4 linked regions of the Drosophila melanogaster genome follow. The protein of the gene in region 2 interacts with the protein of the main gene of each other region in a pairwise test. Each region holds a gene or a part of one and is shown on either strand. Other genes may lie near its edges.

Region 1 (6,482 bases), on a different chromosome or scaffold from region 2:
TATGTGTGTGTGTGTGTGTGTGTGTGGGCTTGGTGATTTCGGCCTATTTGTATACAAAAGGCAGTCAATTTCTGCCAGCTTGAGGAAACTTTTTAAGTCAATTGTCAAAAAGTTCTTAACATCTTTTCCCCAGCCACGCCCCACTTTTGTGGACTCGGTATGGCTCTGTTTCTGTTTCATTTTCGCTGCCAAAATTGAAATATAATTCGGTAAAGTTGCGCCTCTTTTCGGTTCGGCTTTTCCACTTAGACGACGTTTGGATTTGGGCCATAAATCAATGCCAGGCGAAAGGCGTTCGACTGAAATTGATTTAGAATGCGTGGAATGGGCGTAACTTCTTACGGTCGTCAGTCAAGCTTCTGCACTAAAAACAGTCCGAAATGCCAGTGCATTTTATAGTTTGGCTGCAAATCACTTTTCAAACTCTTTGACACGCAGAAAAATATGTCACACTTTCATAAAGCTAAGAAGGAAAAGGCATGATATATTTTAAAACCTATGTAAACAGAATTATATGGCATTATTAAATGCAAAAACAAGAAGACTATTTACTTTAACGATTTTTTCCCATTAGAAAAATATATCCAACTTAACTCACAGAAGAAAGCACCTTTAATAGATCACAGCTGAAATTGTGATTATCATAAAATCAGCATAGAATGATTGCCAACCGGTTTTATAGCAATAACCAGCGATTATGCTAAAAGACATCTCCGTCAGACTCGAAGTCAAATCCATCGAGCATCCAAGATGATCAACTATAGCGGTTTTGCATATTTGATGCACTTGGCATAAACTTAATAAACTTTGCCCCCAGTTACAGGTTATAAACCCGGCGCACCAAACTCGTAAAGATGGAAGCGCGTTAAAGTCACTGAGCCACAACTCGTTGTTTTATGACCAACTCGATGAACTTGCCGCTCCCCCCGTTTGCCATTTCCATCTGGTTTTGTCTAAGCATCTGCCATCATTCTGGCTTTTGTTGCACCATTTTTCACTATTAACAGTAGCCATAAAAGTAGCGTTTGCGCCAATAAAACTTTTGACATGTGGGGCAGGAGGGTTTCCTTAACGTTTTTTTTTCTTACTTCTAGCCGGGCCAGGTGTTACCTTCAACCTTTGCACCTGAGCTTCTCCAGTTGCGTCTGCTGGTCCTGCATCTCCACTTGTCATTTGCCACTGTGGCCCCAGCTACTTGCTACTTGCCACTTGCGCATTTAATTAAGTTTACGCCGCGCTGCACACGCAAAAGGACGAAGGACGTTATTAATTAAATTCCTTTATACACAGGTTAAGCCAGCCATCCCCTCCACCACCTTTCGCCTTTGTGTGTCAACAATTGGAATATTAACGAGGCAACTAATGAAAGTTTACAAAGCCGGAGTCTTTTCCGCCGAAACAAATCGAAAGGGAAACATTTAATAAAAGTCGCACTCACCGATTTTCCGCCCGAGATCAAAGCAATTGCTAGACCAGTTCCCCTAGCACCACTTGACCCACACGGCGGATGCGTGATTTTCGCTACCAATTATAGTGGATCGTCTTGGGAGCCTTTTTGCAGTGTCTGCGTGCAAATCCCGCCGCGTTGATGCACTGCGGCAAAGGTTTCGGACCCCTAATAAGCCACGACCTTAACGGACTCACACATCAAAGCAAGAGCACGCACACCCACTTACACACTGGCTTATAAGCCCCAGACACGCAGACATATGCAAAAAGGATATGTATTAACTGTACGCATTTAAGCCGCTTGTCGAACGCGCACAAATCCAGAAGGGGAAAATCGACTTTTATTCAATACACTCGAAAAATCAACTTTGGCAGATAAAAAACGAGAAGATGAAAACGAGACAGCAGGATGGACCGGAAAAACGGGGTTTTCGAGGAGTGGGGCTACAATATGCGAGTATAAATGTGCAAATCCCCAATGCAGCAACAGCTGCTGCTCAGCCACGCCCCCTTTCGACCCCCCTCCCCGCCTTCAGTGCACTCGTTTGGCATTTACATTTAAGCTGATAAGGAAAAGTGCCTGCTCCTCGGGGTCCCTTGGTTTACCGCCTCCTGCACCCCAAAATCCACCTGAGCGCCAAGTCGCCTCGAAGGGCGCACACACACACACACACACAAGCACATCGAAGACGGCGATGAGAATTGTTTGTTGAAAATGTCGCCAGTTTATGAAATCGCGTGCGTTGGCAGCAAGGAATTCACATTTGACGCACGCACTTTACATTATTAATGCCTAAAGACGAAGGCGGCAGAAACAAGTTCAAGTTTTAGGCTAAAAAAACGGGAATCGAGAAAGAAATACCCTTTTGAAAGTAACCAAAATTCATTTGATATATAACACAAAAGAAGATATAGTTGTTACATTTTGAACAAATGGGAAATTATAGTTTAAGTCAATAAGTCAATCCATGCAGATTCATAACCTATATTTCATATCTTCGATAATTCTTATATACCTTTTATATCAAAAGTTACATGGAGTAGGTGAGTAGTGCTGTGTGCGTGCTTGTGTGCGTAGAGAAGCATCGATGTTTTGGAAAATGCTCCTGCCATTTCGCAAATGTATCGCATTTCCGTTTGGGTGTTTGCACTTTTACGCTTCGCTGAGAATTTTCCAATTTTTGCTGCTAATATTTATTAATCAAGTAATAGCTACTCACACGCAGGCACACACTACGTGTATGAACACTTGAGCTTGTGCCTGTGTGTGAGTGTGAGGTCGCTTGATTTTTGCACGAAAAATTGATTGGAAATTTATAAGCTAAACTTTTTCCACTGTTTGCTTTTGTTTGCGGCCCACGAAACAAACTTTTTTGGTGTGCGCGGTTGTGTTTTGTTACTTTTTTTTTTGTTTTTGTACCATTGCTGCCATTTGCAGCACTTGAAAAGGTCGCCACAAATGGAAGTGAGTGTGTGTGGAAAATCCCCATCAGAAAAATATTGAAATTCGATTTTTTTTTTCGTACTCTCAGTAACCTTTTACCAGGTCCCCAGCTGTCTGTCAAAGCCTCGCCATGAGGCAGGAAGCATTTCGAATTATTTTCAGTACAAACTTTGTGCCGAGCACACCTAGAACCCACTCCAATCAAATAAAGTAAGTTCAAATTGTAACTATTCTGGTGGAAAAAAATCTACAATAAATATTCAACTCTGAGAATATTTGTGGTCACTTTTCACTTTTTCAACTCAACTGTCTTCCACAGCGCTGCCTATCATGCAATACAAGATGAACTACTTGCTGATCCTTGGGTGTAAGTATACGTTAGTTTTCAGTACCATCTAGCATGCAATTATTTATAATTAATTGCGTGTATTTCAAACGCATCCATTGTTTTGCTTAAGGTGTCCTCATGTTGATGCGGCCGATGTACGGCGATTGTCTGCGCATGAAGCGTTCTCAAGGCGATACTGCAAGTGATTATAATGAAACCACTACAATGGACAATACTGCTTCACTGAGCGGAAAAGCCACCGTGTTGGCCAATAGTACCATTACCACCGCTAACATGACTGAAGCCGCCACATCTCCGGAGCAGAAGATTACTGCTGGACCGGTGCGCAGTATGGGAGTTCGTGGAAAAACCACTAGCTCCACAACCACCACCGCATTATCATCATCACTTGCTGCTGTGGCATCCACATCCTCGCCTCCGGATGCCGGAAAATTTCAGCTAGTGGAGGATCTGCTGGGACTGCGCCGTCCCAAGAGGCGTTTGGGTAGCCTGATGGACGACAGTCTGCAGCCACGACAATTGCACCACAAGCGTCGCCCAGCGGTGGAAGCTGCTGCTATGGCCACCTCATTGCCACCCAACCCTAATCCCAATCTTAATCCCAATCCCAATCCCAATTCCAATCCCTACGTGTACTACAACAAGCTGGTTTCGCCAGATGGCAAGCACGAGATAAAGGAGTTCGAGCTGCTGGCGCCCAACATGATGATTGAGAGTGTGCAGCAGGAGCTGAACTACGGTCCGGAAGTTCTGCCACCGGAATTGGCCGGAGTGCTACTGCTGAATGCAGCCGAGAACACTCCACGCGGACTTCATAATGCAGCACCACTGAAGCACCATCGCAAGCATAAATCCTCGCCGGCTGTGCCACCGATGCTCTACATGCTGCAACAGCTGTTGCAGCCCAATTTCGAGGGAAATCTCTTGCTGGAACCACCAAAGGAGCCACAGCGTCACGTTAGTTCACCCCTCTATCAATTCCTTGATGGCGCCATGGATCTGGCTTTGCGCAACAATCCCGATGTCATCGATCACCTGCTGGGCGATCACCTAGAATTGGAGCTGGAGATGGAAAAAAAGAAGGGCATCAAGGATAAGGCACTAACGAAGAAGGCCAAGAAGGAGGCACAGAAGATGGAACCCAAGGAGGAGCTCATCGTCAGCTGTCCCATTCACCATGAGCACCATGCCAATCGTAATGGCGACGTGGTCGAAGATGATGTCGTTTTGGTGAACGAGTGCCATCTAGTGTGAACCTGAAACGGGCAGCTGTCACAATGTTTCTTAAAAATTTTAGGTTACTTGTTTTTCCGCATTCTTTTTTTTATTTTTTGTTGCTTCAACTGGAAGATGTTTATATTTCTTGCATATGTAAGGAGTGGCGAGACCATTTTTACTTTGTATACAAAAAACAGACAATAAAAACTAAATACACATCATAATAACTATGTTCAGCGGAAGAATATAAAAAATCAAGCTCGAAAGTTGCAATATAATCCTTCGGGAATGCCATCATCGAGCAGAATGGCCATTGTTCCGCCCGTAACAAATATCAAACTTACGCTCCAATCGACACCCGATCCCCTGGGTGGCCTTCTCCTTGAAGTTCTCCTTCGTTTTCATTAACAAAATCGATTTCCTACCTTGAAATGTCCTGAGGGGAGAGGTGGATGAGCGGGAAAATTGATATGCCGAGTGCGACAGTGCAGCCAAACGAGCAAACAAATCTAACATACAAACCCTTGACTGCGGATGAGAATATATCCTCCATTTATAGCAATACATGTGTGTGTGTGTATGGGTGTAGGGGTGGGACATAGCGAACGGAGCCGAAAGGCAAAAGTTTTGCCGGCTGCCACTGCTAAATGCTGCTAATTTCGTATACAATAAAACTAATGTAAATTGCCACTTGACGTTCACTGGGCGTGTAAGTGTGTGCCATAGTATGTGCAAGTGTACTGGCTGCACATACATAGACATTAAATGGGGCACATAATGTGCCGGGAGTCAGGAATCGAGAATCAGAATTCAGGCTTCAGGACTGGGAACACCAGGGAAAGGCAAGCCATTGAAATAGCGAGTGTCATGGGTGCCTGGCCATCAGCATAAATACAAATTTGCTTCACAAATCCACGTATATAATCTATATAAACTGCACTAGATGCCAGCAGTACATCTACATGTGCCAAGCGGAAAAGTGCAACGCAGCATTCGTAAAATTGCGTAGCTCCTTCGACTTCAAGATACATTTGGAAAAATAGAAAGAATGGAATAAGATTGCACAATAATTATATTTGGAGAGTGGTATAAAGATTTAATTATTTAATTAAATATTTATAGTGTTTCATACGTTAACAGACATAAAAATATAATAATTAAAGGACGTACTTGCTTATTTCTAGGAATTTAACATTTATATAATAATTTCTAGTACACTCAAAAAATATCTTATATTTGTTATAGATATAAAAGTAAGGCAAACATTATTTCTCTCTCTGTGGTGGCACTGCCAATGTCCCTGGGGTGTTAACTGGAGTGTAAATGCGAATGTATGTGCAATTCCCGCTGCTAAGTGACCAGGCCCCCTCCAACATAGACCCTCGCACACATATATATTTATTTACAAGTGTAAATAATAAATGCTTGCATCAGCCATTCCGCATTCCACTCAACTCCAAGGTCCTGTCAGCACTGCAAGTGCATTAACTTTTGCCACACTTTCGTCACCAATGCCATTTTCGCTTTAAGTTGACATCTGCGTAAATAGCTTTAAGTTGCGTACAATACAAATATAAATATAAATATAAATATAAATTTCGAGAAAGGCAGGCGGCGACCACTTTCGCTAATCTCTTTGCTTTTGAAATTTATGGCTTCATTATGAGGATGACAAAGACGAGCGTTGCCAGGACATTGCCAGGACTCTTCTGTCAGTCACTCGCTCTGTCTGGCTGTCGGTCTTTCGGTGCCTTTGTTGTTAATGTTATGGTTGTCATTTGGAAGCTTGTAATTACGTTAGCCACAAGTTGTTGCCAAAAGTTGTAATCTAGATTTCATAGTCAAAAGGCGACAGGCAACAACATAAAATTCAATTGAACTGTTGAGTCAGCAAATATCAAATGAATGGCAATGGTGCCTTTAAAATGCCGTTAAAGTCATGGCCCAAGTATCAGGAATCTGCTCAGTAATATATATAAACATTTTTTGGACAACTAAGGGAAAACTTTTCGCAAATAACCA
Region 2 (7,210 bases):
GAGCTAAATAAGTAATGCGGGGGGTTTGCGGCCAAAGAGAAGTTAAATTGTAGTTAGAGGTGGATGGATTAATACCCTAGGATGGCATTTAGGGCAAGGATCAGACGAAAAGGGCGCGTAGCATTACACCTTTTACATTAAACGACGATACGATGCCGCGCATCCAATTTGAAACTGTACGTATTGAATTTATGTTTAGTGTCTGCAGCATGCGGGGGATGTGAAGGAAGGAAGGAGGGAAGAAAAAGGATCGACGGGCGAAGAGCTAAATACATTTAAGGGTTAGATTTTCTGCGAAAGGACTGAAGTTAAGGCAACGTAGCGTTTAAATGCAAAATTGAATTGAATTGAATTGATGACGAAACCGAGTGTTATGGATAATGGAGCGTGCGCGAATGCGATTGGTGACGAAAATTACTTGTTTTAAGGCTGGACTTATGTAATTTCGAGCAAAAACGATAGTAGCGAAACAAAAACATGTAAAATGCAGATATAATATTTTTATAATTAAAACAAAGGTACCCCCACCCCACTACCCTTATCTTAATATGTTTAATTCAACTGCAATTATCGTTAAAGACGTATTTACTGTTTGTGATCCAAATTCATTGATTAAACGTAAACTACACAAAGATACAATTGTTGCATGGGCAAGGTTTGAAGTCCGGGTTCGCAAAGTACCCACAAGTACTCGATCCCCGGGTCTCAAAGACGAGGAAATCACGAGTCAATAAGCCAGGTTTAAAACTTGCAGGTGCGTCGTCAATGGCTCGCAATATTTTCCGGTCGGGCCAAATCCGAAAATGGCCTGCCCGAAAATTATACACACCTTACAGGACCGAGTGTTAAGAGTACTTTTGGACTCTCTGCGAACCCATAGAAATAGAGCAGGAACAGTAAATTGTACTTAATTGAAAAATGATATAATAAAACACCGCCACTTTGAAATATATTTACTTGAATCAAATAATATTAATGAGTATATATAACTTTGTACTTGAATAATATTTTATTTATATTTACCTTAAGTCAATAAAAATTCTAATAAATTATAATCACCCAAAAATGCATTTTGTTCAAATGTCGAGGGGAGTTCTTTTCAACTGCTGATTGGAAAATTGATGCCTTTTATTATTGATATTTGCGAATACTGATTGACAAGCTGCGAACCTTGAGTAAACGTATTCTTCCCAAAAATAAAATATAAAATAAATAAAGAAGGCTAATAAGTTTCATAGTGGGGTGTAAATTAAACAATTCAAAAGAACCGCCCAACTGTGGTTTATAAGCTTGGCGCACTACGCCAAGTAAAATACATGTAGAAAACGTGACGGCGTTGCCACTCTTATTGTATTTAGCTAGTTTAACCACCAAATAAACAGCGAAGTTCTCAACCATATGTGAGTTGCGTAGCCATACTACATTTGAAGCAAAAAACCCTAGTGTCGCTGCCGTCTTGTGGTATTTTCGTTGGCCCGAAAAACGGTCCTACCAAAATGGTACCTCCGGCCACACGGATGAATTCGTCGTCATTCGTCGGAATCATTCGAACTTTGAAAATGGATCGGTAGCTGGGAAGGAAACTTAAAGCGAAATACGCAAAGAAAACGGCTTTTGTCCGCTATTCAGCGATTTTTTTTGTGTTGTAATCAGCAGAGGAAATTTTAACGACCAACTCCACCGCCACACCAGCCATCTCCAGCAGCTCCGGAAAATAAAATAGAACTAAATTAACGCCTCCATCACTACAACAACCATCTCACCAACAACTACAAGAGCAACAACCACAGCAACAGCACTACTGCACCAAGCCCACAAAGAAGAGGTGAAACGCAAAAATCGCAATACCCGAAGAAAAAAACAAAAAATATCGCAGATAACCGAAAAAAGCGGTGCAAATAGATAAACCCCATTTTTTGCTTGAGCTTTTTTCGCCTGTGTGATGAGAGAAATCAGCAGCAGCCATCGATTACAACAACAACAGCAGCCACACCAACGACGACTCAACCACCAAACCAAGAATAAATAAACAGCGGAGAGCGATAGATAGAGAGAGAGAGAGAGAGGAGCATCTGCAGCAGAATTGAATCAGTTTTTTCATCAACCGCCGCATTGTATTAAAAACACAAAAATCCCATAGGCGGCCACCATTTTGATTTTGAATGAACTGAACGAGAAGAGAGGAAAGAGCACGAGAGACTGAGAAAAACTGCTGCTCATTTGTTGCACCGTAAACCCTTTTTCCAGCTTGTAAGCACTCTGCCTGTCTCACTCTAATCGCGTCCAGGAGCACCGTACAGTAACAACAACAGCAACAACATGGTGGAGCCCAAGTCCGGGACAGCTGCTTCTGCCGCTGCTGCGAAAGCAAGCAACAACAATAACAACAACCACCCCCGTGGATCTGGGGACAGCGGCATCCGGAGTGGCAGCGGCATTTCCTGCAGCAACACGGACAACAGCTGCAGCCAGAGTCAGTCAGGTGAGCAATTTGAGTTTCTAGAACTCTGGGAGTTTGACACTAAATTCCCATAGCTGAGAAGCAAACTGTGATGCATGAGATATATTTTGGAAACCTTCTGAAGAGATTTCGCATATTTGCGCTTCGTGTGTCACCAGTTTAATTTTAACTAGACAACATGTTAACAGAATGATGAAATAATTGCAAATATTTGCTCTGACTGTGAATTTGGCAGCTCTTTCGTATAAATTTGAACTTCTACCTATTGGAAATTCACCTGTATCTCTGTCGTAATATTGTTGTATTGCCTAAATATAAAGTATATTTCGTAGGCAACAGTTATTTGCATGCCAAAAGAAAACAAAAGCCTTATTTAAGCATATAATTATTATTTTGAGAATGTGACAAACGTTCTTTGCTTCTTAAAGTTGTACCTATAAAATACGATTTGTAGGATATTTCTGCTAAAATGCAATGGTAAAAAAAAGATATACGTTAATGTAATATTTTGTATCGGAAGTTATACTTCCTCTAAAGTTCCTAACCATATGTATGTATTATTCTGCTTGTCATTGGGTGGGGACTGACTACCAATCAGAGAAAAGACCCGACCATTGCTCCTACGCTTTCATTCAGTGGATTTCTAGTCAGTTATCGGCAAAGCTGGGCCAGGCAGCACTTTCGTTTCGTTTACCCTTGCTAATCAATCGAACGAACTAGGGAGCATTGACTGACTGGGCCACGTTGCGCACCGGGTGCCGCAGTGTATTTCCTTGACGTCACACGATGTTCGAGAACATGCATGCTGTCTGCCTGCCGGCGCCCAACCCCACCACCCACTCCGCTTCCCTTCACCCACCCCGCACAGTCTGTGTGGTGTTTACAGTTGTTTTGTTTCGCCAAGAGAACCCCATTGCATCATTCGACTGGGGCCATTAAGCTGAATATAAGTGTGTATGTGCCCTAATTTTAGGGGTATTCCAGCATCTGGACTTTATAACCATCACTGGGGGTGTTATTATTGTACACAAGTTCTTAATTATATGTGGGATTTGATATATGCTATAAAATAACAATGACAAAGATCAACTAAATCCACTAATTAGTCATATTCTAACTGGAGGTTAAACTAGAAGTTTGTTGTTTTCGTTTAGATAGTGATTATAGTCCATACTTTGTGTTTATCAAAGATAATCTTATGAAACAGGACAGATTGTTGTGTAAATATGCTAGATACGGTTGGGTTGGACCACTGACATCCACTAATTCCACTAATATCCTATAAAATCGGGCATAAGTGAGCTGCTTTGAAAAATCATGAAATCCATATGGGTAAACTGCTGTACAATAGGAATATATTCACACATACATATGTAGATTTCAGCACCAATAGTTACCCTTTGTAATTAGACCAGTTGACTGGTATAAATTCGCATAATATGATTATCAATTTAAGCAATACTAGATTCCAAGCACAAAAGGGTATTCCTTTTCCCTGCCATTCCACCAACACCACCAAAGCTGCCGGCGAAGTGAGAGAGACGGCACTAGTATCTGTGCCAGCTAGCCGAGACCGAGAAATTGAAATTGAGCGTGTGCAGGCAGTTATGGAAATGGAAAATGACTCATGATGGCTGATCGATTGAGCGTAATGCACTGACACTCGTGTTCAAATGCGTATTCGTGCCCAAAATGCAGCGAACGCGGCGAAATGTGAACAAACTACGATTATAACCTTCATGACGTTTATTGCACTTGGTGTGACGTTCGTTGCTTGGCCTCCCACACATATAAAATGTGTGCGCCCATTAGGAGTTGTGCTGGAGTGGATTTTGCAGCTGCAATCAACTGAGTGCAAAACGCTGTCAATTGGAGCCCACCAGCTGGAAACTTGTTTTCCCCCCAACGATCCATAATAATTTTCCATAATTATCGAGAAGTTTTTCATTCTATCGAGGCCTATCGATAGGAGGACATCTAGTGGTGCCTACGTGCAGCCTCCTCCGATTCATGAAATCAGCCCAATATATCTCTGTCTCCCTTGCTCGTTTGCGCAAAAGCCCTGAGAGAGAAATTTATTTTTTAGCTGTGGCAATGCCGCAGTGGAAAAAACGTCAGCTGAGGCATATGTGTTGTTTACTGTGCAAAACGAAAACAAAGCAAGTTAAATGTAGTTTTTGTTTTGCTGTTTGCCCTTTCCACTTGTTTGCTTTTAAACAGAACTCGCGCACATCACACCACCTTCATTGGTATGCATTGGCATTGGTGTTGGAGTCTGTCTCTCTCCCTCGCACCTCTGCTCCACGTCTTTCACGACATTTTCTCGGGCATCGCGCTCTCACACTCCAAAACGTACAAAAACAATGAAACAGGGCTCTCTCTGCACTGAAAGAAAAATAACTTGTTTACTTCAAATTAGCTAAATATGAAAACATTAGGCTGTTCAGTGAAATACGTTTAGTTTATGTGCCACTGTAAAACTATGCTCTAACCGTTAAAAATCAATCATATGCCACAACCATATTTCTTCCTGTGTACTCTCTTTTTACAAGAACTTAATTGCATCATGTAACGCTCTCCCGCACCGGTCTCTTCCTGTGCCGCTCTCTTAAACTTTAGTCTCTCTCTTTCGACCGCTTCTCGGTTTGTCGCTTTGTTATTGTTTTTCCTGTTGCTGTTTTTGTTTTGCTTGCGGCGTGTCGGACACAACCACAAAGCGACTTTTTGTCAAAACTGGTTCTGTGTCCAATATGATGTGGCTTTATCGCCGCTCTCTTTCCGCCGCCGATGCGTTGGTGTGCGTGGGCTTATTGGCCAGGTTGTGTGATAACACAGGTATCGGTGGAGGTACAGGTATCAGTATCGGTTACCTCCTTAATCTGGCCTAAACTAGTGTGTCAATATTTACACCCCTCGAAAGACAAGAACTCGATCGGCAAACACATAGCTAATGTTTTCTCTTTGCCATCGAGATCTCAGCAAATATGAGTTTGTATCGACCAACTAACTTGACTCGATGAATTGACATGGCCGGTAATTGTTGTGCATTCGATTTGAAACCGGATTTTTGCAACCAGAGGCGTTTCTCTTCCGGGCTGCTTTTTTAATTTGAGTGTAAGCAAAAAGATTGACTTATTGTTTTTGTTGTCCTATGACGAACGACACTCGCAATTATTGAGCAGGCTTCTAACTACGTACATATCTATGCTTGTACATATGTATGTACAAAGTATGTTTATCGCTACCCTTGCAAACAGCGCATTATAAACATATACATACATATCTATTTGTTACAACTCTCGCTCTCGTTTCGGCCGCTCTCTTCGCTCGCCGCCCACCGCTCTTTTTTCGCTCTTCGCGCACCGCGGTAGTTTGGTTTTCAGTTTTTGTCGCTCCCCCGAAAGCGGGCGCGTGTTTGAATTCGATTCTTTCCTCGTTGGCGCCGCGCGACGTAGGTCCGCAAAGATTTGTCCGTGTTTTTCCATTTCTTTCAAATTCATTTTTTTGGCCAATTGGTTTTTGTCGCCGGTACTAATCTCACATAAACGCGAAATAAATCTAATTCGAAATTCCCGGCCATTTGATCTGAACAATTTTCCCTGTGCTTCCAATAATAACAATCATTCAGCAGTAAATTGTCGTTTTCGTTTTCGTCGGTCGAAAAGGGAAAAGTGTACTTCAAATCGATGATGATCCAACCGGAATAGGGTTAAAATTAGCCCAACATCGTAATTAAACAAACAACTAATTCGAAACTAAAGCAATACCATATCGACGGGGAGCAATATATATCGAAGGCAGGCGGTTTTATCTACGCATTGCAAAAAACGTGCCGCCCAGAAGAAGAACAAGCAGCAGAACGGGCGTTGCTTAGACAAATTGCGTTGCGATTAAAAGGCGAACAGCAGCAGCAGCAACAACATCAGCGGCAAAAGGCAGCAAACATGTTAGGTAAATACAGCAACAACAACGATAGCAACAAAGTCTAGGAACGAGATGAGATGAGAGAACTGTCGCACACACTCAGCCCTGCTCACTCACACCCACATAACGTGATGGGCATGTGCATCTGTATGTGAGGGGAAACGTTTCGAAATGCCGGTTTTTGCATTTTTGTTATTGTTTTAGTTCCAAGTTTCCTCTACATTTTACAGGCTGCTAAAAGCAATTACATTTTAGGCTTATCTTTAAACAACTGATTTTTAATTTAAAAATTAAAGTAACTAAAACGACCTTGTATGCATATAATAACTATGGTAATATATTCCCATTTGGTTATTCTCTAATTTAATTCCTCATCTTATTTTTTATTGTCATACCTTATGTTCTGGTTCTCTCGCCGTTTTCATACATTTTTTCGCTTTTACAATTTCATTTGCTGCGCAATAATTTTCTGCTTCTTTACAGCACACAAACACAGGCGTGCAGATAACGTTCGTGTGTGATGTGTGCAAGAGTGTTAGTGTCTCTGCCTGCCCGTGAATTCATGGTGTCAGGAGAAGAAGGTGGTTTAAGAAAAAAAAGAGTGAGTTGTTGGGGTGGCATCTCTTCAGCATTCTAGACCATTCGCAAGGGAACGTGTAAATAACATGTATATGAAATGTTTAATTAATTTGCGGAGTTACAAAAGAATTCTTTTAACTGATTAAAGTGTGTTTTTAGATGTAGGCTGAATAAAATGTTAACGAAATCTAAATTTTTGAAATTCCAATTAAAATATTTGCATTTTTAATTGAACAATATTAATAT
Region 3 (10,610 bases), on a different chromosome or scaffold from region 2:
GCCGTACAATCCAATTTTGGGAGAAGTATTTCAGTGCCATTGGGACATTCCTGGTAGGCAATGCAAAACTAGCTACTGTAGACCACCACTTACGCGTTTTCCTTGATATTAGGCATATCCCAAGACGCTCAGGAGGTACGCGACGGTCCAGTGCCTTGGTGCAGGCGGGATCAACTCACCTTTTTAGCTGAGCAAGTGTCTCACCATCCGCCAAGTAATACAAAGAAAAAAACAAGACTTTATTACCTCTATCACTTACGCATTTATTTGTTTCAGTTTCTGCCTTCTATGCGGAGCATTATAATAAAAAAATAACATTTGCGGCCCATGTATGGACCAAGTCGAAGTTCTTGGGACTCTCCATTGGAGTTCATAACATTGGTGAGGGTGTTGTGACCCTGGTGGATCGCAGCGAGGAGTACATAGTGACCTTCCCCAACGGCTACGGCAGGTGAGAACGTGTCTGTGGTATTTCCGGTTACAAACAACTGAAGACTATTTCCATTACCAAGGTCTATTCTTACGGTGCCTTGGATTGAGCTCGGCGGTTCGGTGGAGATCAAGTGTCCACAGTCTGGATACTATGCCAACGTGGAGTTCCTCACCAAGCCATTCTATGGCGGCAAACGGAACAGGGTCTCGGCAGAGGTGACTAGCTCTGAATGTGTACATTTGTTTTCTTTTATTAATTCGGATAATCCATAGGTCTATGCGCCGAGCGAAAAGAAGCCTTTCGTCTCTATTACGGGCGAGTGGAGTGGTTTGATGGAGGCCAAGTGGCATGATAAAAACGTAAGTCGTCCAAAATATGTTTGGTTTATGTTTGTAGTGTACTATTATATATTGTTTCTGTAAATGTTGATCCTTTACTTGTACTTTTTCCTCCGCATACTGCGCCAAAACGCTGCAACAAACAACCCCACGAGTTGGCAGCCACATCCACCCTTCACACCCCAACTAGACCTCTACTTACTATCCACGATTCTTCTGCTTTTCTCTTAAATAGCTCGGGAGCATTTCCTCTGTGTGTTTACTTTGTTTGTCTAGAAAATCGAACCCACAAATTAATCCTATGCCTGATTGTCCAACGTTGTATTCAAATTGTTGCTATCTGTACTTATATATGATTGCTGTGTGTTTAATATTACACCCAATCCCAATCAGTTGACCACATAGTGAATCTGAATGAATCTCTTGAATTTTCTAGAAAACCGAAGTATTCGTCGACGTAAATCGCATACCCATATTTAAGAAACAAGTTCGACCAATCGTTGAGCAGGATGAGTACGAATCGCGACGCGTTTGGAAGGAAGTGACAGCGGGACTCAAGTAAACAGCATACCAATTAATTCCTGACCCCCAATTGCGAGTCATGATAAATGTAATCTCTTTGTTCGTTGCTCTTCCACAGGTTCAATGACATCGAGCGCGCTACAACTGCCAAATTCGTTGTGGAGCAACAGCAGCGTGATCAAGCCAAGGTGCGCAAGGAATACGATCTGGCCTGGGAGCACAAGGTACGTCATCCCGATATAGGGTAAAACAGTTAACAGATAATATTCGTTCACAGCACTTTAAGCCCGTGGGCGACAACTGGATCTACGCCAAGCCGCTGAGTCAGCGCATGTATCTGCAGGAGAAGGAGGCCAAGAGATAATGCCTCCGACTGACAACGAGAGCAACAACACCAAAAACGTCTATATATATGGATCATATCAAGAACGAGCCTCAACTATATGTTTAATTCCACAAGTGCGCAAACCTCTCAACACTGACGATACAACGTAACGAATGCAGGAAAAGTTAGAGCAACAACTGAACTGGCAGAAGGAGATCCATGATGGAGGCTCCAGGGTCTGGTTATTAATTGTAAATAATATACACAGAGAAAAAGAAAGGAGTAAAGCTCTGCTCATTAGGTTGGAACGCGAGTCAAGCTCGACAGCTCAGCGGAGACAGAAAAATCAAACACTCACAGTTTCTATACAGAATTAACGATTATTATTTACTACTAAGTACTAGTGTGTTTCAAAGGCAATCGCAGTAAACTGCAACACAATGACACCTATTCAATACCTTTTACATTACTAACATTTACTAACTAGCAACAAAGAAAGAAATCCAATACATAATGGGATATATCAAAAGTTGTAGATTACAAAATGATAGTTACTTAAGGATAATAGAGATTCTATTTTTGAAATAAAAGACTCTGCTATAGACGAAATACAATACCGACACGCTAGTATCCGACAGATACTGCACCCTCGCTTCTTTCCAAGACCACAGGACAGACACACGGACATAGAACACACGGTGCACAATGATTTTCCAGTCGCATAGCTTATAAATCAAATACGATTACCTTTAGTATTATGTTTCGAATTCCACTTGTCACAATAATAACAATAAAGCTTTACCAAGAGTCCGCTGGTGACACACCTTTACACCTTACTGCAATAGAACCCAATTGAAAACCGAACTCCTAGACACGTTGAATAATAGACATTAAATTTAATTTATAACTTTATAACTTACGAGCCAGGAAGCAACACCACCCACACAGCAAATCTACCGACTACTCTCACGCAAAGTTAACGCAAAATGAAACGAATAAAGTAAATACGCTTCGAAATTGATTTAAAGTAATATTTAACGAACTAGTTACCCCGTAGAATAAAAGAATTGTAATCCCAATGGCATTAATTGGAACTTATATCCAAGCCCGGGGAAACTTGTATATATTTTTGCGATTTTCTTTTTAACCAACGTGTTAATTGAGAAATTGAGCTACTCCCAAGCAGATACAAATATTGCAAATAAAGCGATTTGTTCTTTAAGCAGTTTTAATGGATTTTGGATTTCGGGCTTACGAACATTTAAGCTCATATCATTAACAGAGTTATATATAATATACATTGCTTGTCTTCACTTAATAAACATTGCGTTAAGTTTTAAATTTGAATTGTTACAAAAATAATGTTACCATTGGTATCGATAACATTTTATTTGCAATCGATAGGCGACCCAGAGCACTGTCATCTCTTTTTTAAAACCAACGGTCACACTATTGACGTGGCCTCAAAATTTTTTGTTCTCCGGAAAATGCAAAAAGTTTGCATTTAAGTTAATTGTGCATAGCAGCGTACGACGCCAAGTCCAAAGAATCCGCCTGCCAATATAGGACGTGTTCGCATCCATCCGGAGCACGCGAGGAGCGCTTGAAATCGTGTAAGAAAGAAACTAGTGCGGAAGGAAGTTTTGGGAGTGGAGAGAGCGTAGGGAAGTGCGAAAATCGTTTAATTTTCGTTCGCGGAGAAAAATCCAGCCAAGGATTTCACAAAAGACCAGAACAAAGAGTACAACCAGTGGTTTTTACAGCTGCATCCGCCCTTTCCTCACAACGAAAGGCGGAAAAGCTAATTCATAGTCCGCAGCAAAATCGCCAATCAAGGGCGCAAGAAGAAGAGGCAACTACAAAGTGCAAGTGCTGGCCGAGGAACTTCATGCCAATGAAAACTGAAGCTCGGGAAGGTGATAAGTGATTGGTAACCGTGTTATGGGCACTACATATGCCTTGATTGCCCCAATTTCTTTGAGTGGGTGGTGGGCGTGGCGGGTTGACTTCGCCAATAGGCACGTCATCAAAAATTTGCTTTGTTCCGGAGACAAATCCTTTCTCTTCCTGATTGCTTCCACTGCATCTGGGTCACCAATTTAACCGACCCACCTTCTGCGATCATTGATGGCGAGGTCAAGTGCTTGAGGCACGCACACTTACACGTTGTACATCACATAATAACCCATAACGACCTGCTGTCGAAGCTGTTTAAACAGCAAAATATGATATGAAATTATCACCCTATTTCCGACTTACTGTTGACGTAGACACAGTTCTGTAAACACTGAATCAAGACATTTACCTAGGCAGCCAGTCTAGCTTAAAAGTTTGTGATAAAGCTCCAATAACGCAGAATTTCGCATTCCATTCGATCACTGCAAATTCTAAACTGTCTGTAAGCGGGGAAAAGCATCCCGCTTTAAAACTTTACAACTTTTATCAGCCGCACATTGTTTCATGTTACGCGCTTTTTAACATTGAACGATAAGATAATTCCCTGTTTCATGTCGGCAGCAACGCAACCTTCGCTAGTGATAAGATAGCAACTAAACAAAATGTAATTCTTCATCTTTCAGACCACAAACCTATGAATTAGCAGCATGTCGACTTACAATCCGAACTTCGTGCCTCCCGCCCACGCCCCTATGCCACTGAACGGAAACAATTTTGTGAATGGTGTGCAAGGAAGCGTCCAGCAGCAGCCAGGTCCTCCACCTGGTCAGCAGTATATACCACAGAAGCAGCCACAACAGTTCCAGCAACCACCTCCTGCAGCAGCTTTTCCGGGAGCAGGAGCGCCAGGTAATGTGCCACCGCCGCAGCAGTTCAACAGTGGTATTACGAACCAGTTCTTGCCGCCCACGTCAGGAGCAGCTACACCTCTGCAGCAACTGCCGCCCAGCACGCTGCCGCCCCATCTGCGTCCGCCCGCCGCCAACGGACCACCCCTTACGAACGGCAGCAATGGGGCGTCCAGTGCGAACTCTTCGCGCACTGCATCCCCAAGGCCAGTAGGAGCTGCCCCTCAATATGCTCAAGGACCAATCGCTGCAGCGTTGAACAATCCGCCCCTGGCGTCGGGACTGCGTCCTTCGCCCCAACCGACGCACCAATCTCTGGCCAACTTGACGAGCAATCTGGAAAATCTTAACTTGAATACCACTCGAGCAAATGGAGGTACCAGCATTTTGCCACAACCCCAAACCCAGCAACAGTACGCACCCACAGTAACACAAAAGGATGGCAGGGGAGTGGCCTCGGCCCAGACGGGTCCACCGCAGTTCAACGACGCCAACAGTCTGTTGGCGGCCAGCGGAGTGGCCGCTGCACTAGTTCCCAATGCCATGGCGACGCCGTTTAGTGGACAAAAGCCCCCCAATTTGGCTCCAAATCCGGCCAAAATGTTCGGAAGCGCCTCGATGGCCGGTAGACCAACACCAGCGGGGCAACGAATCCCATACGGAGTACCCCCACCAACTAACCCCGAGCAGCAGAGCCAGCAAAACAACAATCTACAGAATGCACCGCCGCCACCAAGAGTAGGAGCGGTATGGCCGCCGAGCTTACCAAATGTAGCGGCGCCGGGAGCCCAGCCCATGATGCCGCCAGCCCAGCAGACACCACAGACGTATCCATACTCCCAGGTTTATCAACCAGGACCACAGCAACAGCCACCACCTCCTCAGTCTGCAGTGCAGCCACCGCCGCCGGGAATGTTCGGAACGCAACCGACTGGAGCTCCACTGCAGTATCAGGCACAGGCGCCTCCTCAGGCTTACGGACAACATCCTCAGCAAGCACCCCAGACTGCACCCGGGGGACCTTATGGAACCACTGCTCCACTAAACGTGGCTCAGCAGGGATTCAGCAGATTGTGGGGACAGGATACTATCGACCTTATGCAGAATCGGCATATCTTAACGCCGGCAACGTTGCCTCCGCCAAAAGTGGTTTTGCACAACCAGTTTCACGAGTCCATAAACTGTAGCCCGAGCATTATGCGCTGTACGCTGACCAAGATTCCCGAGAGCAACTCTCTGCTCCAGAAGTCACGTCTGCCTCTGGGCATTGTGATACATCCCTTCCGTGATGTCAATGTAAGAATTTTATTGAAAATAATTTGATATAAAAGACTTTAACTTGGAATTCCTCACACAGAGCCTCCCTGTTATTCAGTGCATCAACATTGTGCGTTGCCGGCTGTGCCGCACTTACATAAATCCCTTCGTTTACTTCGTGGACAGCAAGATGTGGAAGTGCAATCTGTGTTATCGAGTCAACGAATGTAATTGAAAAGAGTTCCCAGCATATAATGGATTTAGTAATCCAATGTTTCTTTCTTCGTGCAGTGCCAGATGACTTTCAATTTGATCCGGCCACAAAGACATACGGCGACGTAACCCGAAGGCCCGAGGTACGCTCTAGCACCATAGAGTTTATTGCTCCTTCGGAGTACATGTTGCGGCCGCCACAGCCGGCCATGTACCTGTTTCTCTTCGATGTCTCGATAATCGCGCAGCAGAGTGGTTATCTGGAGGCCGCATGCGCCGTACTCAACCGGCACTTAGACGAGATGCCCGGTGATGCGAGGACCCAGGTGGGATTCATTTGCTTCGACAGCTTCGTGCACTTCTACAGCATGGCCGAGGGGCTCAACCAGCCGCACGAAATGACGCTGCTGGACATCGAGGACCCCTTCCTGCCACGTCCTGATAGTTTGCTGGTAAACCTAAAGGAGTGCAAGGAACTGGTGCGTGATCTATTAAAGCAACTGCCTAAGCGGTTTGCCCACACCCACGATCCGGGTTCCGCCTTGGGTGCTGCTCTGCAGGTTGCTTTCAAGCTAATGGTGAGTTGAGCTATTCAAAATTAAAGAGGAACCTTAATCATCGTGAATACTGTATACAGCAAGCGTCCGGCGGACGGATAACCGTCTTTCAATCGTGCCTTCCCAACAAGGGACCCGGAGCCTTGGAGCCGCGCGAAGATCCCAACAACCGCTCGGCAAAGGACGTGGCCCACCTTAACCCGGCAACCGACTTCTACAAGCGCTTTGCCCTAGAGTGCTCCGGCTATCAAATAGCTTGTGACCTCTTCCTGATGAACCAGCAGTACAGCGACATGGCAACCATTTGTAAGTGACTCTTAGTAATGTAAATTCAAACTGCCTTTTTGCATTAAGTTCTCTTACGAGTAATAGAGCACCGTTAACTTATTGGAGTTTCAATTTCCCTATAGCTGGCATTAGCAAACATAGCGGCGGCTGTGTACACCACTTCCCGCTCTACCAGAAGACAAAGCCACACATGGTAGAATCGTTCCGCTCGTGTTTCAAGCGCTATCTTACCAGGAAAATTGGATTTGAGGCGGTAATGCGAATCCGCTGCACTCGTGGCTTGCAGGTGCATACATTCCATGGAAACTTCTTCGTGCGCTCCACGGACCTGCTCTCGTTGCCAAACGTGAATCCGGATGCTGGATATGGCATGCAGATCTCCTACGAGGAGAGCCTCACGGACGCGAAAACGATTTGCTTCCAAGCTGCGCTGCTCTATACGAACAGCGAAGGAGAGCGCCGAATCCGTGTGCACACCGTGTGTTTGCCGGTTACCGCTTCGCTCCCAGAGGTAATGCATTCAGCCGACACGGAAGCTATTATCGGGCTGCTGTCGAAAATGGCGGTTGACCGGTCGGTCGCCTCCAACTTGTCGGACGCCCGCGATGCATTCATAAACGCTACGATCGACGTGTACAATGCCTTCAAGATAGCACAAAATCTGCCATCGGGACAGTCGGGTCAGCTGATAGCGCCGCGCAGCCTGGCGTTGCTCCCGCTCTACATCTTGGCCCTGCTTAAGCACGTGAGTTTTTTGCATATGATCTTAGTTATCACAGCTTATTTCGGTTTTCCACTAGCCCGCTTTCCGTGTGGGAACTAGCACACGACTGGATGATCGGGTCTACGCCATGGATTGCATGAAAACGCTACCGCTGGACCAGCTAATGAAGTACGTGTACCCGGAGCTGTACAAGATCGATGCGTTGATCTACCACGCCCGCAACTCGAACATTAGTTCGAACCAGGATGACGACGAGGACGAGGATGAACCGTTGCCGGAGCTGCCGCGTCTTCAATTGTCCGCGGAACAGTGAGTAGAGTTGATTTATTTTTGACCTTCGATAACGAACGCTTTAACTTCAGCTTGGACTCTCGGTCAATATTTCTGATGGACTGCGGAACGCTGATAATGATCTATGTCGGCCTTAATGTGCCGCCCGATGTTTTGGAAGCTGTTCTGGGTATGATCTTAAAACCCAACCAATTTGTGTTACTAATCTGTTTCTAATTTCAGGCATCAGCTCCACCGCAGAACTGGGTGATTATGTATATGGATTGCCAAATGTTGTGAGCAACGAGAACGATGTGCTGAAGCGTTTTATTTTGCGACTCAACTACGATAAGCCCTACTCGGCGCTGGTGCAGATAATTAGGTAAGTCGGACCACTATTAAAATATTCATAATACCTTGCTAATTATTTTATCTTAAATTAAAGGGACACGAGCACGGCCAAGGGCCAGTTCACCGAGAGATTAACCGACGATCGCAGTGAATCTAGTTTGTCATACTATGAATTTTTGCAACACATTCGGGCTCAGGTTAAATAGTATATAAGCAGGATATCCTACCACTATTGTATGCAGCATAAATACGAGTTTCTAAGAACCTAAAAACTCAGACTCTGGTGACTAGAAGCACGAAGCGAATGCAGGTGACACTGGTGCGAAACAATGGAGACCAGTTCGGGACAGACATACACTTGATACACCTTAACCACCCATCCCCTACCCACTCTCTCGGCTTAGGTAATTTTAAAGTGCATGTATTTATTTATTTGTTGATTTGTTGCACTAAAAATAAAATAAAATAATTGAAGATCATAGTAAATGCGAAAGAGCCAACTTGTCACAACAGAAACTAAGATATCGTTGCCAGTTCGTTTAGGGCGAACATTAGTCAAAAGTTCAGCTAACCAGTCAGTAGAGCTCCCGAAGAAGTGGATGGCTCCGTTATTTATTATAGAAACTATGCAATAAACCAACGAAACTGTTGTACATTATGCTTTAGCTCGATTTTTGTTCGTTCCAACTGCTTCAAACATTCTGCAAACTTCTCAGCCCCACAAATTGTTATCGCTTACCCCAATTGTTTGCTGTTTTCAGTAGTATTTATTTTCCGGAATCCAGAGAAATCTATATTTATTTATAAGTGTAAGGAAAGGCGTTTTGTTGCACTGTAGTTAGCGAACTTATTTCAAACGTATGTACGGATTTGGTATTGTGTATTGCATTCATTGGACTGCTAGGCAGTGAATGTCTTAAGCTTAGAAGGAATATTATACTGTATCAATAAAGAGACCCCATCCCTGTACCTCAGGTGGCGCAGTTGTCGTTCTTTGAGTGGGCTAACTAATCGAAAAACCATATACAAATACTGTACCATACTTTATACACATACGAGTACATCAAGATATAAAGCGAAATAAATTTTAATTAAATCATAAGGCAATGCGTTTTATTTTCATATGTACAGGCACATCTGTTGTTCCCAATATATCCCAATTTAGTTTTGGGAAAGACCTTAATTAAATTAACAATCATTTACAATGGATAGATGATGGCGCATAAGACTCAATAAATCGGTCAGCCCTTCGCAAGACATATCCTGGTTCTATGTTCCTCTACATAAAACAGTTGTCAGCGCCTAGCCAGAGATTCCTGCAAAAATATCAACTTTAATAATGGACAAATATAAATTGGGTATCTGGACTTACGGATTGAAGAAGGGGGAGCGCGGCGGATACTTCCTCTTTGGTGGAGGACACAAGATGGGATCCAGCTTATAATCGTTTGTTGTGTCTAGACTTCTGGGAGAGTAGTGCTGCCAATCTAAGGACTTCTCATCTGGTTGGTAGCCATCGGTCGCGTGCTCAATCTTCACGTGTACCTTGAGATGATCCTGGAGGAGGAATACCTTGTCGCAGAGCTGGCATTGAAAGTGTCCCTCTGTGTTGGGCACATGGGCTTCATGGTATCTTTTATAGTGCTGGTGCAGTTCCAGCGAGGATCGCATCGTGCGCCCGCATATATCGCATGTTTGACCAGTGCTCACAGGCTGCGGAAAGTGGGTGGGGAGGTGTTCGTCCAGCTTCTCAGTGGCATCAAAAGTCTGCTCGCACAGCAGACAGGAAAGTTGCACTTCAGCCAACGCCGTTTCCATTATCTATTTATTTCACATGCAACTTGTTTATTTTTATGTTAGCTTAAGAATATACGAATGGAAACTCTCTATATTTTCAATTCATCAACATATGAACTACTCGCATTACGGTTCCTCGCTCTCGTTCTTTTACTCCGTTATTTACACGTCTTTCTTTTCATTCAACATCCAGTCTATTCGATGCGCACTTAAAAGTCACAAGTGTTCCATTCGGTTACAAGAAATCAACTGTTCTTTTCGTTCTCCTCATACTCATTGTGAAAACAGGAGAGAGCGAAGTGTCATATCAGTGTTGCATGTTTAGCCTCTTTTAGCTATAACAAAAATTAGCTATTGTGGGAAGTGTGAGTTAGGGCAGATATCGATCAGCGCTGGCTCGACAAGTTCTCGAAAAAAGGGCGCAGTCTAAAACAACAGCACACACACTTTTCTTTTGATATGAAATTGGTTCAATTCTGGTGGTACAGTTAGCATAATATTCTTTTCTTTTTAAACCTACCCAGCATTATGTAATCGATTTAGGAGTATTTATAGTAAAACGAATATAAGGCTTGCAACTTAGCCGAAAAATGTGCGATCATATTTAAACCGCTTCCAAATCTGAAAAGAAGAAACGTGAACAATAAATATTTTTATGTACATACATATGAACATATTTATATATGTATGTATGTGTATAATAATTCTGTATATGTATGTATAATAATTCT
Region 4 (6,453 bases), on a different chromosome or scaffold from region 2:
TATTCATCGCATGTTTGATTGGGTAAACTGATCCACAGGAATTTGTATAGTTTTTATGTTACTTTTCATATCTCGACTTCCAATGGATCTGCAAAAAAATCCAAAATATTTTATTCGCTCTACAGGTGAAACTGTACTCATGTAACGATTTCCCGAAAGTCACGTTGTGAGCCCGCCCAAGTGTAATTGCCATTATCCATTAATTTTTCCGGTAATCTGTGGCCATCGAGCGATGCGCAGTGGGGTCTTTGGCTTACTGACAGCCAGCGTGATTGGGTTTTAATGAAGCTGCATCGTGGCTTTCAGAAAGCCAAAGGCCAACTACCAAAGACCAGCGAAGATTAATGAATGTGGCGGACCCAATTGAGAGGTCGTTGGATTCCAAACCACGATACAACTGACGCATCCGAGGCTGCACTAATTGCCGCTTTGATGCGTTTTCCGGATTGCAAGCGCTGCATAAACGGATTAGTTTGCTCTGGTCTCGCTGGGCTTTTCCTAAATTTTACAATTTTCCGCCCAATCCACTGTGACCTTTGCTCATTTGCCGCAATTGCATGCAATTTAATTTGGGTGGAATATGGATACAGTACAATTAACATCCGCACACACACACGCACAGCGACCGGAAATGTTTTATGATGTTGAGCTGCTCCTGAGCCTCCTCAGCTTCTGCACAACGATCAAAATGAAGTCCGTGCCCAGGGTCATGTGGATTTCGCCCATATTGGAGCGAATCCGCATGAAGGTTATGTCGTTCGAGGGGTCCAGATCCCTGACCACGTTGCGGGCCATGAAGAGCAGCGGCTTCAGGTTAGAGACGAACACGAAGGTGCGTCTCTGACTGCAGGTGGATCGGAGGGGCACTCCATGGCTATCCAAGATCATGATGTCTCGGGCGCCGCGATGGGCGAAGAGATTGACGAACGCATCCCCATCGTAGGATCGACTGCGACTAGGGAGATGGACAAATGCGGAGCAGGTCAAGGGGTCTGTTGCTGTTGACGATTTCGTGTTCCAACTTACATAACCGCCTTCTTTACCACTGGAGTGCTTTTGCGCTGAGTTTCAGTTACTGATAACCTCGAACTTCTGGACATTTTCGGGCTTCGCAAATGTAACTAGTAGTGAGTATAGTAGTGTCCTCTTCCCAGCCAACTAGGTTTTGACCTATTTGATTTGATGACGCAGGAATCAGAGCTTACTATCATTACGAGTTCAGCAAACTCAGGCTGCCAGAAACTTACCCAAGGAGGAATCTTTGGTGAGGAATCTTCCATGAGCACGATTTAAGCAAAACTACGGAATTAGGGGCTAAACTGCACTGCTGTCAATTTATTTGGCAATACTTTGAAATTTGATTTGAATTAATAATAAATAATATATGATTTATATAGGAATGCGGGTGCGCAAGTAGCTGAGCAGCGCCGGAGTCCCCATCGATAGAATCTGGTGGCGGGGCTGGCGGAAGGGATTTCCCCACAGCTCCAATTCCACGAGATTCTGCATTTTGCCCAAGATCGGCGGCACTATTTGGATGTCATTGTTTCCCAAGTTCAATCTCTTCAGTTCCCGCATTCCGCCCAGGCCCGATTCACTAGCATCGATGGCACGGATCTGGTTGTCGTGGGCCGACAAGGTTTCCAGTCTCTCTAGCTCGTAGATGCAGCGTGGCAACTGGCGGAAGCGATTGTGGGAGATGTCCAGATTGCGGAGCAGCCGCAGTCCGCCCAACTCCATGGGCAAGTCGCACAGAAGATTGTTGGAGAGGCTCAGGTTAGTCAACTTCGAGTACTGCGAGATGTTGGTGGGAACGAAGGAGATCTGGTTTTTGTTCAGGACCAACTGGGTGAGGTGCTCGGAGAGCAAGGGCAGATCTTTGGGCATCTCGAGCAACCTGTTGCCATCCAAGCTCACGATATTCACTAGCTCCTGCTGAGCTGCCTCGAATACCTCCATGGGCACCTCGCTGATTTGAGCCTTTGACACCTGAAGGATCCGGGTGTTCCTCATGTGGTACTTGTCCGGAAACGGCCACTGACTCCCATCCGCTTCCGCTTCCTTTCCTCCCTGCAGCCTGGGGCTGTTCAATCCGTCACAAACCATATACATGTCGAGGATTACCTAGTACAGAATGAATCGATTCCGTAAAGAAGTTGAAGTGAGCAAACTTACTGAATTCTAGAAAAAGTGTATAATGCTTTGTGACTTGCTTCGCCTGATTCAAACGGAAAACTGAAATATCGAAGTATATATATATGAAGGAGGAAACAGCATATCCAAAGGGATTGTGATCCATCAAACCCATATTCAAGATACTTGGAATGAATGCACAAGTGTATCTCGTATCTATGTATCTATGCACATTAATCATTTACTTGTGGTTTACAGCAGCTTTAAGTGGGGTGACATGGCTTAAGAATAAGAATATAGATTTCCGCCTAGCAATTGATCCTAATTAATTTTCTTCGAAAAGTTATGAGTAGATCCCAACTATCTACTGGAAATTTTACACCTCTCAGATCACTCCACAGTCCGTCAGCGAGATCAAGTTGTGGCTCATGGGCAGGTGTCCGACGGCCACCTGAATCCTCTCCAGGAGCTGCATGCCCTTGCGAACCTTCCCGAAGGCGATTCTCCTGCCGTTGAGAATGGACAGGGGCTTAAAGCTGATGGTGAAGTTGACGGCAGTCCGGGCGTTTCCCCTGACATAGCGACTGGGAAAGGAGAGGATTCCGGCGTCCACTCCGTGGTTCAGCACCTCGAAGTCGTGCTCGATGTTGGTCAGCTCGGTGCTTCTCTGCGGATCCATGGCCAGTCGTCCCTCCATCCAAATGGGCGCCAGGGCGCGGTTGAATACGATGGCGCTACTGTTGTTCTGGGTGCAGATCCTCATGAACTCCAGCACCACCTGCGGACAGGCCTCGGTGAAGAGCTGGATGATCAGCCTGCCCTGGATGCGGGCTTCCCGCACCTCGATGTCCAGGTAGATCTGCGGACGCAGCAGCTTGCACAGAACGCCCACGTCGCATTGGTCCATCAAGTTCTCGTAGCGATGGAGCACGTGCATGGGAATCTCGCAGCTGAAGGAGCCCGAGGACTTGGGCTTGTACCGCTTTGACTTGCCCGCCTCTGGGTCAAACAGCTCGCCTCCCTTGTGGAACTCCTTGTTCTTCTCCAGTTGGCGGCGCTCCTTCTCCCGGGCCAAGTTGGCATTGCGCCACCTGCCGGCTGCCAGGCGCTCCGGCGACTTGGTGAAGGTCCGCAGCGTGTTGTTGCTCTTCTTGTAGAGTGCGGTCAGCATCTCCATGTAGGAGAGCTCCATGCCATTTCCCTCGATCTGCACCTTCGGGGGCGGCAGATAGGTGTTGACCTTGCCCTTGATGTTGGACATTCGATCGCGGTGCTGGCGATACAGCTCCCGCTGCTCGTTCATCACTATGTGGGATCGGATCTTGGGCATCGTCCTCCGGGAAGTGGGCACGGGGATCAGCCGCTGGTGGTGCCGGTAGTTATTCTCCAGCTCTTGCCTCTTCACATTAAAGGTGTGCTTGGGCCGGGAATCCTCCACCTGGCCATCCAAGCCCACCAGGTTGGGATTGTGGGTGTTGTACACCGGATTGGTCATTGTGTAGGGTCCGCGCTTCACTGCCGCCACATAGGGCGTCATGGAGCTGGGGATCTGGGGAATTTTGCCCCGGGAAGCTTGTGGCGCATCTCCGCGGATGAACATTGTGGCTAACTCTTCCAAAATCAATGTAGTCTATATACTTGAATTTGAAATGACTAAGCGGGGTTCGGGTTGTACGTGTGTGGTAAGAAATGTTTGACTGATTGGATTTGGAGGGGATGGGTCGAACTAACTGGCATAGGTCACCTGGATTGAAAACTATAACTGCGAGAAGCCATCTGGATTAGAGCGTGAGCCCACTTAATTATCTGCCATATGCGTTTTTATAAACTATAACTAACTGGAACATAAAGTGCGTGCCGCGGCGCGTCTGAATATGCTTTGATGTGGAAAACAACGTGAAATTGCACATTTCGGCATCAATTATTAATTCGATGTATAATGAGGCGCACATACGTATGCGTACATATGTAAAGTACTAAACTATGAAGCTCAATTTAATTATTTTCAACTATTTTGAACGGAATTAACACTGCGGTGGCCTCATAAATGCAAACTTGCATTCGTGTAATTAGTGATTAAATTAAAATCAGCAAATATGCACGTCATTAAAAGCGAACTTCACATCAGCCATTGTAACTTCACTGCACTTCTAATTCCCATTGTTTTTTGGCCAGTTAGCTACTTTAACTGAATACTATTGAATACTATTGTGTCCCCATGTCCACATATTTAAGAGCTTCATTATTTGTTGCTCATTTGCTGCATCCGGATTTGGCTTTATTTTCCGCGCTTTTGGCTTGTTGTAATCGCTGGTTAAATGGGCCATGAAATGGTTTTGACACTTTTTGTCAATGCAATCGGTGTTTTTAAGTCCGTTCAACCGTTGGCAGGATGGACAATTAGTGGCCGTGGCACTTGAATGACTGTGCGACAAAGTGTGGATAAATGGAGCAGCAATGCAAAGTAATAACAATAGAAACCACTGATTTGCACGGCCTTTTAATTTATAATATTTGTGTATTTTTTACTCATCCGAGGCCGTGTATTAAATCAAAGGCAGGGCGCTGGTCGATTCAGTCCCTTTTTAAATCGGATTAAACAATATCAATAACATATGGTGCCCATATTCGAGTGCAGATAAAAACAATGCACATTAAAAAATCTATTCGCATAGAATTAATTGATTGTTAATATGGTAGGGCTTTTGCGGTCACAATTAAATGATTAATGCGATTGTCTGCGGCACAGCACGATTGAAGGATAGACGAGCTTCGACGGGGGATATACTCATATCTGCATATGGTTGGGTTAATCCGATGCATTAATGGCCCCCACTCAGCCGCCAACGAGGACGTCAGCTGAAGGACATCCCGACCGGGCTAAGAGTGCCGGGCCAAGTGTCATTAAGCCAACGCTCTTATCGCTCAACAATCAACGTCAAAGTGGGTGGTTGGGCGGTCTGGATGGTTGATGGGTGCCTCCATAGACATTGAACCACTTAAGCGTTTTTATTCTCGAGTGCCACGCCCCCCTGGTGCATCAGATGGCGTATTATCATCGCAGTTGGTCCAACTTTCACCTCCACGACGTGTTTTGTACTTTCTCTAGTGCCGAGCCATGGCATTCGCACTTGATATCCATATTGCAGGGTACGTCTCAAAATGTGTCAACAATAAACACACCCACACACCCACGCCGACAAGTGACTGCAATTTGATCAAGCACACATGCACATGCATACTCGATTTTATTTTATTTAACTTATTTTACCCACAATGCCCTGTGACAACATGGTGCATATTTGCACCGGAATGTCGGTCTGGGTCTGGTTATATATGAAATTCTCCAACCAGTCCGGGGTAAATATGTTAAAGCCCTCGTTCCGGCCATAAGTTCTTTAAAACCTATTTGCATATTTCGATTTTGAAAGAAGCTCTCTCTGTTGTCATGATGTCGCAGCACCTGTGCTCATGAGCTCCTCAGATATAACTAAAATTATAGTCAAATAATAGCCACCAGGCGATAAAGTGCTCTTGAATGTATACATCACTCTGCCACGCTCTGACCTTGTGGCCAATGCCCCAAGCCCCCATTCATTCCCAGTCATTTTCTTATGGGCGAAAACAAAGCCGGAGCCCCTAGTTGAGAGCATAATGGATCATAAATGCTCTGGCTCCGAAAATGTGATTTTATTTTGTCTGCTCCGACGCGTCTTTCGCCTCCATTATCCCAGCATCGGGAATCTGGCTTATGGAACCTAGGAGGACCTGTCTTATTGCTGCCCGGCTCCTGGATTACACACATAGTGTGTTCCTTTGTGCGTACGAGTATGCGAGTATGGCCCAAGTGGCACAAGTGTATATTTTTATGACATTCTGTTTTCGCTCAGCTCATGGTTTGGAGCACTTTGTGATTGTCATATCTGCTTACCGCCGAAAAGTGGTGGGGGATTTTGGTAAGACAGCAGAAATCTTGTAAACGGAATGTGCAGGTATTTAAGCTGGGACTTGGCGAGGGTGAAGCGAACGGATATTAAAATACCATCCGCAGAAGGCATTTAATACTCCGCACAACAAGCCGAGACTTTAAGACTGACACCAGCTTCCATCCAGACCATTAAATCAGCTCCAATTAACCATTGCCTTGGCTCAAATGCCATCGATTCCAGGCCCCCCAGGCTGGATCCCCTTTCGACAGTCGTTGAGTGTCTGAATGGGCTGTGCCCGGAGCCATCAGTTAATTAATGCTATTAATGTCTTAGCAGTCGCTCTCGAAACCAGTAATTAACCGAGATGACAAATCAAGTTTGGCCCACAGGA

What was found.
Region 1: the proteins of Lk6 (region 2) and CG15109 interact in a two-hybrid assay, tested with the Drosophila melanogaster proteins (one large-scale study listed by BioGRID).
Region 3: the proteins of Lk6 (region 2) and Sec24AB interact in a two-hybrid assay, tested with the Drosophila melanogaster proteins (one large-scale study listed by BioGRID).
Region 4: the proteins of Lk6 (region 2) and CG3492 interact in a two-hybrid assay, tested with the Drosophila melanogaster proteins (one large-scale study listed by BioGRID).

Annotation. Positions count from the first base shown.
Region 1 is NT_033778.4:19,056,384-19,062,865, forward strand, and holds CG15109 (uncharacterized protein), read left to right. Parts: upstream 1-3,037; 5' UTR 3,038-3,103; intron 3,104-3,212; 5' UTR 3,213-3,235; coding exon 3,236-3,260; exon of another isoform or gene 3,261-3,351; coding exon 3,352-4,496; 3' UTR 4,497-4,682; downstream 4,683-6,482.
Region 2 is NT_033777.3:11,758,756-11,765,965, reverse strand, and holds the start of Lk6 (Lk6 kinase), read left to right. Parts: upstream 1-1,508; 5' UTR 1,509-2,319; coding exon 2,320-2,482; intron 2,483-5,886; exon of another isoform or gene 5,887-6,405; coding exon of another isoform or gene 6,406-6,412; intron 6,413-7,210.
Region 3 is NT_033778.4:9,874,804-9,885,413, reverse strand, and holds Sec24AB (secretory 24AB), read left to right. Parts: upstream 1-3,056; 5' UTR 3,057-3,231; exon of another isoform or gene 3,232-4,018; intron 4,019-4,197; 5' UTR 4,198-4,221; coding exon 4,222-5,718; intron 5,719-5,779; coding exon 5,780-5,906; intron 5,907-5,970; coding exon 5,971-6,470; intron 6,471-6,529; coding exon 6,530-6,755; intron 6,756-6,859; coding exon 6,860-7,482; intron 7,483-7,537; coding exon 7,538-7,770; intron 7,771-7,823; coding exon 7,824-7,921; intron 7,922-7,974; coding exon 7,975-8,113; intron 8,114-8,176; coding exon 8,177-8,288; 3' UTR 8,289-9,182; downstream 9,183-10,610. Other genes in the region: CG1513 (uncharacterized protein), read left to right, coding at 1-53, 113-214, 277-451, 513-648, 706-792, 1,208-1,329, 1,412-1,517, 1,571-1,657; CG12744 (uncharacterized protein), read right to left, coding at 9,362-9,398, 9,455-9,900.
Region 4 is NT_033778.4:24,470,118-24,476,570, reverse strand, and holds CG3492 (uncharacterized protein), read right to left. Parts: upstream 3,860-6,453; 5' UTR 3,734-3,859; coding exon 2,519-3,733; 3' UTR 2,345-2,518; downstream 1-2,344. Other genes in the region: CG16837 (uncharacterized protein), read right to left, coding at 637-955, 1,027-1,100; CG3494 (uncharacterized protein), read right to left, coding at 1,390-2,112.